Linked DNA regions of Daphnia pulex. The protein of the gene in region 2 interacts with the protein of the main gene of each other region in a pairwise test. Links are inferred from orthologs where the notes say so. Each region holds a gene or a part of one and is shown on either strand. Other genes may lie near its edges. The genes, in order: DNA repair and recombination protein RAD54-like, eukaryotic translation elongation factor 2 and ubiquitin-conjugating enzyme E2 variant 2-like.

Region 1 (4,088 bases), on a different chromosome or scaffold from region 2:
TTTCATTAAATCGACCGAGTTATTTTTGTTATTATTTGCTTTAGAACCGTCCAATTTGCGACTGTTTTTTCTGGGTAGAAATACTTACGGACAACAGGCGATAAATAAAACAGGGTTTCTTTTGTCCGTCTCTCCAAACACGAGCCATAGCTTGATCGTCGTTGGCGGGATTCCAGTCCGGATCAAACATCACCAACCTTGTGCGAAAGTAATTCAACATTTTTTTTTGTGAATAATCTTACATTCTAAATTGAATGCATTAACCAATTAGTACCGGTTGGCTCCAATTAAGTTCAATCCGCAGCCACCGGCTTTGCTGCTGAGCAAAAAGACAAAATCTGAACTGGCTGGGTCGTTGAAATGTTCCACAATCTGAAATGCAAAATAGGTACTTAACAGTCCTTCCTGACCCGACTTCATTAAGAACTAAGACTGGTTTGATTTGTCTGTGTACCTTGGCTCTCTTCTTGATGCTCATGCTGCCGTCCAGGCGTACGCACGGGTAAGACCTCATTCGGCAAAGTTTCTCGAATAAATCTAGAGTTTGAGTGTAGTTGGAAATCAAGACGATCTTGTCGTTGGTAGTGCTTTTCACCATAGCCAGAATACAGTCGAGGACGCAGAGCTTGCCGGACAATTCGGTTTGCAGTTTTCTATCGATCAAATCAGCAGCGAGGTTATAGATTTTTCTACTGTCGCAAACGAATGGTGTGGGACTAACCGGGGATCGAAGGTGGCAGGAAATAACGGCAGAGTGCCTTCGAATCCGTCAACGCCCGATTGGCACTTTTCGTAAACCAATTCCGGGTGACTGCATAGTTTCTTTAAATTGGTGATGGCTGCCAGTGCAGTCATGCTCGATTTGCTCGGTTTCTCATTGGCTTCTATTTAAGTTTAAGCAGGACAGCAACAAAATATTTAATCAATCATGTACTTTAATTTATATAATATTTACCCCTCATTTTGCTCTTGACAGCTTCGGATGCTACGACCTTCTTGTAAATGGACGCCTGAACAGGACTGAGCTTAATACAAACAACCAATTCAATTTTGACTGGAAGATATTTGGTCAGCAAAGCGGATGTGCGCCGAATGATGCATTTATTGACTAGATCGGCCAATTCTTTCAATTGTGTCTGACCCTTCTTCTGAGTTTCTTCCGTCGCATCAGCGTCTCTACCTCGAAGGATGGGCGTCTCGAACCGTTTCTTAAACTCCTGCAAAAAGAAAATGTGTTTGTTGTCATTATTATTAGTTAAGGATCTCATTTTTATCTTGAATCACCTGAGCAGTGCCAAGAATGCCTTGGTTAACGAAATGTAACAAACTAAAGTACTCCAGCAAATCGTTCTGAATGGGCGTTCCGGAAAGAAGGACACGTCGTTTGCAATTCAATGCAACCAAAGCTTGATATGTCTGATTTTCACTGTTTTTCAGACGATGTCCCTAACGAGACGAACAAACGGTTGTTAGTTGAATAAGAGACTCGCGCCAGATAATGATCTTAATTATGAGTAAGTGTACTTCATCACAAAGAACAAGTCCTATTTCTCCCTTGAGAAGGGCGTGGGCGTGAAGTCTAAATGTCTCGTAGGAGATGATCAGAACAGGAGTGACGACTCGCCTTCCGTGTGTGTGTATGAATCCATTCAAGTTGCGATCAATTTCGTCTTTACTTCCAGAGTCTATCACCAACGTATTGACTCGTCCACTTAGCCACTTGTTGATTTCATTCTGCCAATTCTTTTGGTTGTAAAAAAAAATACAGCAGTTAATAAATTTCAAAGTGAATTATTAAAGTGATCATTGAATCAATGCACCTTGACCAAACTACTAGGTGAGACAATGATCCCTTTTGAAATTAAGGGCTTGCAGTCTGGGCCTTGTTTGAGTAGTGTCCAAAGCAGGGTAATGCACTGCAAAGTTTTCCCCAATCCCATTTCATCAGCCATAATGCAACCATAATTGTTTTCAATGCATAGACCAGTGACACAGTCATACATGAACTTCACTCCCTAGCAATAGAAAATTAATAGAAGACCAGAATTACAGCAGCATAAGTGGAACTTACTTCACGTTGATGAGGTCTAAGTACTTTGGTCAATACTGGATCAACAACAACATGAACAGGATGTTTATCACTAACAAAAAATTTAAAGATGTGAAAATTTAATCCCCCAGTCTTTTCAAACTATTTAATATTGTACCTTATGGATGATTTCAGCTTGTCATGAGCAGACAGTTCTGGAGGGGAATATAAAATCAAAGCACCAGGTTCATCTGGGTCATGTAAAGCTTGTCGTACTCCAGCTCGTCTCATTCCAAGTGATTTGCTAAGGGTTGGCCCATTGTAGTTTGGTATTGGTATTTTGAATGGCTTTGACATAATCTTTTTGATAAGTTCTTCCTGTTAAATAGTTAATAGCTATAATTTTGAGGCAATAGAGTTAAGTAACTATTATAGTTAATGTTTTACATGGAATGACGATCCAGCCATTTCCGAATTGGTTTCAACTGGAAGACTACATTGAGCAAGTGGTTTACGAAATGGAGAAAGAAACTCTGAAGCTCTGTCTATTATTTGTGTCTTCTTATTCTTGCCTCCTTTCTTCTTTTCTGACCAAGCTGGGTCATCATCTTCATCGTATTTTCGTTTAACTTGAACCAACTGACTTGGGGCCAAACTCCGTCTCTATCATTGTAAAATTGAGTAAAAATATAACAAAAATGTTAAAATTCAAGAAGAATTCATCACAAACCATTTTATTAATCCCTTCACTTTGTTCTCTTTCTCGTGTTGAATCGCGCCTTAAAAATACAAACACAAAGGTGAATGCATCGTGCTTATGCAGTTACTCTAATAATGATTACTCGAAAGGGTTTCTTTTGCTTGTGACGTTGTCGAATGTCTCACTAGATGGGCTTTCAAGCGAAAATATTTAAGCTGTCCGCATTGGCGCATTCTGTCAGTAGTCTTTGCAGAGGATGGTCGAAAAAAGTTCAACCCGTTCAACGGCGAGGCGAGGCGAGGCGACTCGTTATTAGTTTCCAGAAAATCGTGTCGTCATTAACTTGTTAGTGTTATTATGTGAGATAACCAAGTACTTAACCACAGTACCAGATATAATAGAAACTATTGTTAATTCAGTTTTGTTTCTTATTAATCAGAGAACAGAAGGATGAACAAAGCTTACAGACCAAAATCTAAAATTGGAAATTAATGATGCACTGCAATTTCAGGTGATTTCCGGTTCCGATTTGTGTAAGAGGATTTCTTTTGATTGTCCACTTCACGAATTGAATTGACTGAAACATCATCCAAGCTCAATTTAGATTTTGGAGGCGATAGCAAATTAAGAATTCACCAGGTGGGAAAATGGTAACACATGTTATTTATTTTCCTAATTAAAATAGAGAATCTTTTGCTGGTTGTTATTCCATTCGAGTAAAACTTTATTTTTTTCCATCTTCCAACAGGTTCATTCAAAGTTAACAGCAAACACACATTTGATTTGTTTTTAAAAAGGAAGTCCATGCTGTCCTATAAAATATTCTACCTCAGTTTCCTCAAGTCCTTAAGGTATCACAACTCCCCTATTCAATTCCCCCTAGATTAACTGTGTTTAAATATTTTCTTAGCTTTTGCATTATGTTTGGTTGTTTATTTGTGCTTGTTTTTATTACATCAAATTGTTTTTCTTTCGAAGGCTCATAACAGCCATAACAGGTAATATTTCGCGCTGTTTGGTGTTTCAAACGTGGGACCATCAATCAACCTAAGAACAAAGCCCCTGGTTTTTCCTCAAGAAGCTGGTAGATATTAAACATTTTACTTAGATCTGTTTTATCCAATAACCGTTTGATTTATTCGACAGGTTTTAACCAATTCGAAAAGGTACTTTGCAATAAATAATAAACCGGATTTCAAGCCATATATACACCGTTTCTGCAGCTTGCACCTGATCTGGCAGGCCGTCGGAACTCTATTAAGTTTATCTGAGAACCATCGGTACTTTGCCTAGACAGCGTCCTGGAGAAACTACTACTCCACTGCACCGCCTTCGAAGAAATTATGTGGTGTGTACATT
Region 2 (4,305 bases):
GTCAGACTTCTTCAGTGGGATGCAAGCATGGTCCTCCTCCAAGTCCTGCACAAAAAAAAAATAATAATGCAACACTAGATGACAATACATTTTATAAAAACAAGATCCTACCTTAAGGCAAATTTCCAAGTGAAGTTCACCAGCTCCAGCGACAATGTGTTCTCCAGACTCTTCGATGATACATTGGACCATAGGATCGGACTTGGCCAAACGTTTAAGACCTTCAACCTAGAATAGAATATTGTTGATATCACAGCATCAACCACATCGATTTCAAAAATAAATACCAATTTAGGAAGATCAGCAGGGTTCTTGGGCTCGACGGCAACACGCACGACGGGTGAAACAGAGAACTTCATGACACGCAAGTTATGGGCATCCTTGAAGGTGGAGATGGTACCAGTCTTGACCAAGAACTGATCAACACCAACCAAACCGCAAATGTTGCCTATTGGGATATATAGTTAGAAAACAAATCCTGAAGTCTAAGGATAACATTCAACTTACCGCAAGGGACATCTTCAATGGCCTCGACGAAACGACCCATCATGAGCACGGTACGCTGGATAGCCTTCTCGTACAAGTCGGCCTTGTTGCCGGGAACGTAGTTAGGGCCCATGATACGAGCCTTCATGCCAGTGCAGACCTTGCCAGCGAAGACACGTCCGAAGGCGTAGAAACGACCCTTGTCGGTGGTTGGTACCATTTTGGAGACGTACATCATGAGAGGGCCGTTGGGGTCGCAGTTCTTCATGGCGACAGCGGATTCATCATCCAAAGGACCTTCGTACAACATCTCAGTACGGTATTTCTGGGCCACAGCAGGTGATGGCAAATGGATGGCAATCATCTGAAGCAAAGTATCTCCAGCAGGGAGCCATTGACGAACGACGGCTAAAATTTGAACAGAAAAATAAAGTTTAGTTTATATCTAACAGACAACCAGCTGAAACCAACTAACCTTTCAACAAGTTCTTGCCATCCTTTTCACGATCTTCCAAGCTCAACTTAATGCCCAACTTGGTCAACAGAGAATCGGTTTCTTCTTTCTTGTAGTTCATGATAGCATCGAAAACCTACGATTATAATAAATATAATTAGAACACTTACATTTACGAGCGAATCTTAGCATGTGCACATGAATCAGTTAGAAATTTGCTTCCTCAACATGATCAGTACAGGTCTGTGTTTATCATCACAAAAATTATTGTCAAACCATAGGACATTTGTATCCTTACCTTGTAAAGGGGATCCAACACATACATATTGAAAGAACGCTTGTTGTCGGCATCTTTAGTTTTTGACCATTTCTTGGTGGTAGGGTTGAAGAAGTTCTCTCCCCACAAGCTATTGAAGTAAAATAAATTGGTTATTATGATGATTCTTCAGAGGAAAGTCATTTTTTTCTTAACTTACCGGTTCATCAGCTTAATGGTGTCAATCTTGAACTTATCTGCATACATCTCAGCAAACTGCTTCAATGTAAAAGCCCAGCCGTGCAGACCAGAGCCGAAACCAACGCTACCCTTGCTTGGGTCAACGCTAATCTCACCCATGGGTCCTTCATCATCAGCATAAGTAGCAACAATGACGTTGACGTTTTCAACAATACGCTGGAAAGTTTGGTAGAGAGCTTCCTGGTCAAGTTGGAGCTCGAGGAGCGCACGGTCCATTTTGTTCATGAAAAGGATAGGCTTGATACGTTCACCAATAGCCTGACGCAATACAGTTTCGGTCTGCACGCAGACGCCAGAAACGCAATCGACGACGACCAGGGCTCCGTCAGTTACACGAAGAGCAGCTGTTACCTCAGATGAAAAGTCAACGTGACCTATTTTTTTTACACAACAAAAACATTAGTACAATTTTAATCAAGTAATAATATGATTCCTACCAGGTGAATCAATCAAGTTGATCAAAAAGCCCTTCTCAGTGGATTCACGTTGTTCAGGGTTGGTGATGAAAGCACAATCCTTCTCAGATAGCTCGAAGTACATGGTCACAGCAGTTGACTTGATGGTAATACAACGCTCCTGTTCATCTTTACGGGTGTCAGTAAAGCGCATTTCACCAGCCTTAGCTCCAGCGATGATGCCAGCCTTGCCAACCAAAGAATCTGTCAATGTAGACTTTCCATGGTCAACATGAGCAATGACAGACATGTTACGGATGTTCCTCTTCTTGTCCATCATGACACGAATTTCATCTACTGTGAAGTTCACCTGTAAAATAATACAAATAACACTTTACTCATAATGACACTTTACATTAATTTGATCCCACAACATAAAAGATTTTCCATGTCCCTCAAGCTAGACCCTAAAAATTTTCAACTGTCAACTTAAAACGGTACGTTAATAAGGGCAATCAACCGGATACCGGAACAGTGTACCTGATACACTACATCTTGTCAAATACTTTAAACCCTTGAATAAAGCATACTAAATACTAATCAAAATGTCGGAATACAACGACATGACAAAGATATCTCAAATCTGTTGTAACAACCCGTTATCTTCCCCATCTTTTCTTTCCAACGTGTCAAGACCCAAGTCATGAGGACACGAATATTAAAATTAATAATAACGAAACGATAAGACCCTGTCGAGAATCTATTTCCCATTCAATAAAATCGCCTTCTCTTCAAAATTAGAATGATGATATTAAAAGTTAGAATTCTTTACCATTTTCGATGATATTGGATAAACTGCTGCCGAAGTTCACAAAAAGACGGGTACAGAGAGAGCCCGTCTAGAAAAAGAGAACGATGAGATGGTAGAGACCTCTAAAGTAAGCTAAAAAATCACCTCCCTTTATTAACAAAACCACGTACTGTCTGCGTTGTCGAGCAACAAATATTACACTTTTTGTTTCTTTTCGAGTTAAAAGTGTAACTGAAAATTTTCCTATTTTCTGAAATAAATTGTTATGATTTAAAAAGTTATTTTAATAGAATGTGAATATTTTCATTTATTTCTATGTGAACCCTAGTCAACAGTGCGTTGCTAGTTCACTTTTTTGCCGTCACTTTTTGCAGTTCGTCCATTGCAGTTAAAACCATGGCTGACGTGAGTATTTCTTCTGAAATTTAGATTAAATCCAGAATAATGTTTGACATCCTTCGTTATTTGTACATGAAGAAGTTAGAAATTGTTGAACAATTCAATTTTACGTCTTGTAGTGGGGAAATTTGTGGAATGGATATTAATTTACATGGTTCGGGGATCGGCTTTTTTGACTTTTTTCCTCTTAGCACCAATTCACTCATGTTTGATTTTCTGTTTGATGGTAGACCGAAGACCAGACCAAGAAGAAGCGTACCTTCCGCAAATTCACCTTCCGCGGGGTGGATTTGGACCAGCTGCTGGACATGTCCATGTAAGTTTTGCATTTCTTAATTTTATGGTAACTTCAGAATAAGACTAATCACTTGTCGGATTTGCAACATAGGGACCAGCTCCTTGAGATGCTGAGTTCCAGAGTCCGTCGTCGCTTCCGCCGCGGACTTAAGAGGAAGCACATGGCTTTGTTGAAGAAATTGCGAGGAGCCAAGAAAGAAGCTCTTGAGAATGAGAAGCCTGCAGTTGTCAAAACTCACCTTCGCAACATGATCATTGTCCCAGAGATGGTTGGATCCATTGTTGGTGTTTACAACGGAAAAGTCTTCAACAGCGTCGAAGTCAAGGTAGCCGATTTTCTTTAGAGCTTCTGATGTGCAATTCAACTAACGTACTTTGATTGTTTTTATTAGCCTGAAATGATTGGACATCATTTGGGTGAGTTCAGCATCTGTTACAAGCCTGTCAAGCACGGTCGCCCAGGTATTGGTGCCACTCACAGCTCTCGCTTCATCCCATTGAAGTAAATTGCAGTTGGTTTGTCACTTCAAGGTCAATAAACATCCTTCTTGGCCTGAAAACTGTTTATTTATTTTATTTACTGGAGTACATCCCTAACGCTGGGTGAGCTAAAAAACGGGTCTTAGTGTTTGTCATCTGTGCTGAATTGTTTTTAGGTTTCTTGGTTGGCTGATTCCCTTTGATTTTGGAATTTGGTTCATGTTGAGGAGAGGTGAAGTTCTTTAAGAAATAGGTGTTAGTAAATTCATTCACAGGATAAAAGAGTAGCTACTAGAAATACCTTCATCCATTCCCCTTTCAAAAGTGCAATGATATTTGCATTCGGTCCAAAGCCATATTCATCAGTAGATTGAATTTTCTTTGTGAGCTGTTCAAAGTCTTCTGATATCAATTCAGTTGTGTTCGGTTCGGGTTTCGGTAGCAGTAATTCAACGCAAGCTATAGG
Region 3 (3,234 bases), on a different chromosome or scaffold from region 2:
ATCAAAGGTAAGTACTATTAAGTATTAACATGTTACTATTTAGACACGAGTCCTGAGGGGAAAAAAGAGGAAAAACAACACGAATGTTTTCAAAAAAACAACTGTCACTTAAAAACGATGATTATAATTTCCTAAAGAATCCCTATAACGTTATGATAATCCAAAATTCAGCACAACCTTCCGGGAGAAATGTGCTGCTTCTATAATGAAAAACTAATCACGCGAGGTTTACACGACACGAAGAAAATACGAATGAAAACAAGAAAGTGTAAAAGGGGAGGAGTCGATGCCATGCTTACATTCTTACTTGGACATTCCCTGGATAGATGGCATGGTCAGTGTGGCGCCAGTAAATTCGTTCTTGATACTGCCGAATAGCCCAATACCACTCCTAATAGCTAATAGGAATTACAAATTTATATATTAAGGTGATGTAATAAAACGTGATAACGGATGAAAAAGAACACTGAAAATGTCTGTCCTTCTGTTTATTTGGTTGTGATATAAATCATAACCAAATCAAATATTTGACTTGCATGTGTATTGGCCTATATTCCAATGAAGCTATAAGATTTTACATCATTTTTGAGAAGGGGATTAGGCCAATAGGATGAACGTTCCGCAAAGAAAGAATGAAAGTTTCCTTTTATTATTTTCCACCATGACGACGACGACATCATTTTTTTCCGTAATAACAACTTAAAAATTGGTTCCCTCTGGTGGTTGGGGCAGCTTCATGTTTTCTTTAAGGGTCATCATCCTTCTTAACTCTTGCAATAGCGTTTTGATCGTATAGTTGCGCTGCCATTTGACCAAGATGCTCACCATTCGTTTGTCAACCTACCAACAATAGTTTGGTTAAATAAATGAAATCCATAAATATATAAAAACAATGTCAGATTATTATTTACCATTCCTGTTGTGTTGTGCACACCATTCATATTGATACGAGTTGTAAATCTGATCAGTGGGCACTCCTCTGGATATTTCATACCACACTCAATCTTCAAACTATACATTCTGTTCTCAAATGCAGTCTACAAAAAAGGCACAAAATAATTATCAAGTTATAAGGCGTGTTTAAATACAAGCTTACTCGAGGGGGGCCAATGATCATGCCTGTCCAGTGTGACAGGGTCATATCACTGTCATCCTCCAAACCCCAACTGATGGTTCCATCACCAACTCCTTTCTGTCCTTGTTCAAGTTCTTCCAATAATCGAAAGTTTCGTGGCACTACCACATCTAAGGTTACAATATCCACCATTTATACATTTGATAATATGGCTAGCCAATAATATGAAAATGAAATAAGCTTTAGAAAAATAATCTCTTTAAAGAGTTAGACCAATTAAATTTTTTTTTCTATTTTTTGACACAATCTGACAGCAAAAAATGGAGAAAAGGAAAACAACTAATCAGTCAGAAAACCGATACGATTTTAACCGAACCCTGGATATTGGCAATAATATGCCAAGTGATCCAAATGAAGTCAGACACGTAAAGTTTGATTGAATTTCATTAAATTTGTGTCAACCATACGAATTAAATAATTAAAAACCAAATTTAGAGACGTAAGAATTACCCGCTGATCCTACTCCTGTGGTTGCCATCTTGTATGAAGACAAACTTCTTACGCGCCGGGTTGCCAGATAGATTACACACCTCAAGCGTCGCAACGCAATGAGCCAATCAGCAAACGACAATGCAACATTGTTATCAACTGTATTTAAAATAAAAAAAAAAAAAAACAAAAAAACAAATTAAGACAAAATTTTGCTAATAATCCATGGTTTATTATTCATTGGACAACAAGGGGTATAAGTAACTAGAATAGGAATCCCAGGCAGATCACAAAGTAGTTGAGTACTATTTCATGTAACAAAAAAGGAGTATAAAAAAGAACTCGTGTGTGCGGAATGACAATATTTCAGAACTAAATAGACTCGAGACTAATTTCACCATTATTTTCATGAGGAACGTTTTTAGACCAGCATAGTTAACAGGAAAGTAATTGGTTGAAAAAACCCCACCGTGGCACTTTAGACAATGTGAATTCTATCGCATTTTGCTGAACTGTTCCATCAAGTCTTTACCAAAATGAGTAATTACATAGTCATGGTAGTACATCATGATGCAAAGAGGTTGACCGAGTATGAGCGACATCCACACCAAAACATTACCTAATCGCGGCCCAGCTTTTTTCTCGACAAAGTGAGACACGGCAGACAATGGTATCTGGGTAAAAGATTTAAGTTATTTAAAAATCGATTAAGGTGATAATTGTAATACCTGCAGCATCATGCCAGAGAACGCCCACAAATTAAACATTCGTAATGGGACACTGACCAAGTACTCGTGAAAAAACGCGCTGAGCAGGAAGACGGACACGGAACCGACAGTTTTACCATAGCCTCTTTCGATCAGTGGCATGTACAAGTGCCTAAATATCAAAATTGTATTTTTATATTACACGGATTAACCGATAATTAAGATAAAACATACCTAACGGCCCACCGGTGAATTGGCATGTTCCAAGAGCGCCAAAAAACATCGATATTAGTCGCGTTCCACCAGTCACCATAAAAATCGCGATCGGCGAATTTAAGAACCTCGCCCAACATGTTAAAATAGGAATGGAAGCAAAGATAGAACCAGATGAGCCATAGTAAGTGATTGGGAATCTGTGTAAAAATAGAAAACAGTTTAACAACAATCGTTTCATTAGAAAAATATGAATATCTTATTTGTAGCGCACCGCTAATTTCAATAATCTTTCGGTGGCAGGTACAGGTTCCATTTTCTGCATAAATAAATTACAAGAGTATGATTTATGATCGATGAATCAATGAATAAAGAAAAAAGGACAAACCGAGAATGTTTCGAGCGAGTTTTTAACGCTGGGAATTATCCATTGCTGGAAAAGACCCAGAACAACTTGCATTCCCACTAATACTTCGATGACTCGTTTGATCAAAAACCGCTTGCGGATACGGGAAGTACGTGGAAAATTGAGTTCGTAGCACAGCGTGGGGATTGCCATAAAAAAATACAAGTCATGGACAGTCAGATTATTTGGATAGGATACTACTTCGTTCATAGATTTGCCGTTGTCTACATCAGAAGGATCTAAACAAATACATAGTAAAAATCAGAAACCGGTTTAGAGGATAACTGGCCTTGAATGATAAGTTATATGGCTAGTACGCACGTGGCTGAACAACGGAGAATGCT

The links.
Region 1: the proteins of eukaryotic translation elongation factor 2 (region 2) and DNA repair and recombination protein RAD54-like interact in a two-hybrid assay, tested with the Caenorhabditis elegans proteins (2 studies listed by BioGRID). The link is inferred for Daphnia pulex from reciprocal best matches to the Caenorhabditis elegans genes eef-2 and rad-54.L.
Region 3: the proteins of eukaryotic translation elongation factor 2 (region 2) and ubiquitin-conjugating enzyme E2 variant 2-like interact in a two-hybrid assay, tested with the Caenorhabditis elegans proteins (2 studies listed by BioGRID). The link is inferred for Daphnia pulex from reciprocal best matches to the Caenorhabditis elegans genes eef-2 and uev-1.

What each region holds. Positions count from the first base shown.
Region 1 is NC_060022.1:2,886,540-2,890,627, reverse strand, and holds the start of DNA repair and recombination protein RAD54-like, read right to left. Parts: upstream 2,888-4,088; 5' UTR 2,763-2,887; coding exon 2,760-2,762; intron 2,693-2,759; coding exon 2,477-2,692; intron 2,408-2,476; coding exon 2,208-2,407; intron 2,142-2,207; coding exon 2,072-2,141; intron 2,016-2,071; coding exon 1,821-2,015; intron 1,744-1,820; coding exon 1,525-1,743; intron 1,447-1,524; coding exon 1,285-1,446; intron 1,218-1,284; coding exon 956-1,217; intron 885-955; coding exon 722-884; intron 654-721; coding exon 455-653; intron 373-454; coding exon 275-372; intron 198-274; coding exon 89-197; intron 1-88.
Region 2 is NC_060028.1:7,522,486-7,526,790, forward strand, and holds the start of eukaryotic translation elongation factor 2, read right to left. Parts: upstream 2,837-4,305; 5' UTR 2,688-2,836; coding exon 2,685-2,687; intron 2,223-2,684; coding exon 1,895-2,222; intron 1,832-1,894; coding exon 1,417-1,831; intron 1,348-1,416; coding exon 1,239-1,347; intron 1,077-1,238; coding exon 962-1,076; intron 895-961; coding exon 508-894; intron 449-507; coding exon 288-448; intron 229-287; coding exon 112-228; intron 46-111; coding exon 1-45. Other genes in the region: 40S ribosomal protein S15-like, read left to right, coding at 3,060-3,068, 3,293-3,378, 3,451-3,685, 3,752-3,865; uncharacterized protein LOC124209707, read right to left, coding at 3,933-4,079, 4,141-4,305. UniProt on the Caenorhabditis elegans protein: Catalyzes the GTP-dependent ribosomal translocation step during translation elongation.
Region 3 is NC_060018.1:3,969,888-3,973,121, reverse strand, and holds ubiquitin-conjugating enzyme E2 variant 2-like, read right to left. Parts: upstream 1,721-3,234; 5' UTR 1,614-1,720; coding exon 1,586-1,613; intron 1,246-1,585; coding exon 1,097-1,245; intron 1,038-1,096; coding exon 912-1,037; intron 841-911; coding exon 700-840; 3' UTR 525-699; downstream 1-524. Other genes in the region: diacylglycerol O-acyltransferase 1-like, read right to left, coding at 2,059-2,238, 2,293-2,443, 2,506-2,684, 2,759-2,803, 2,873-3,129, 3,212-3,234. UniProt on the Caenorhabditis elegans protein: Involved in protein ubiquitination, but has no ubiquitin ligase activity on its own. The uev-1-ubc-13 heterodimer catalyzes the synthesis of non-canonical poly-ubiquitin chains that are linked through Lys-63.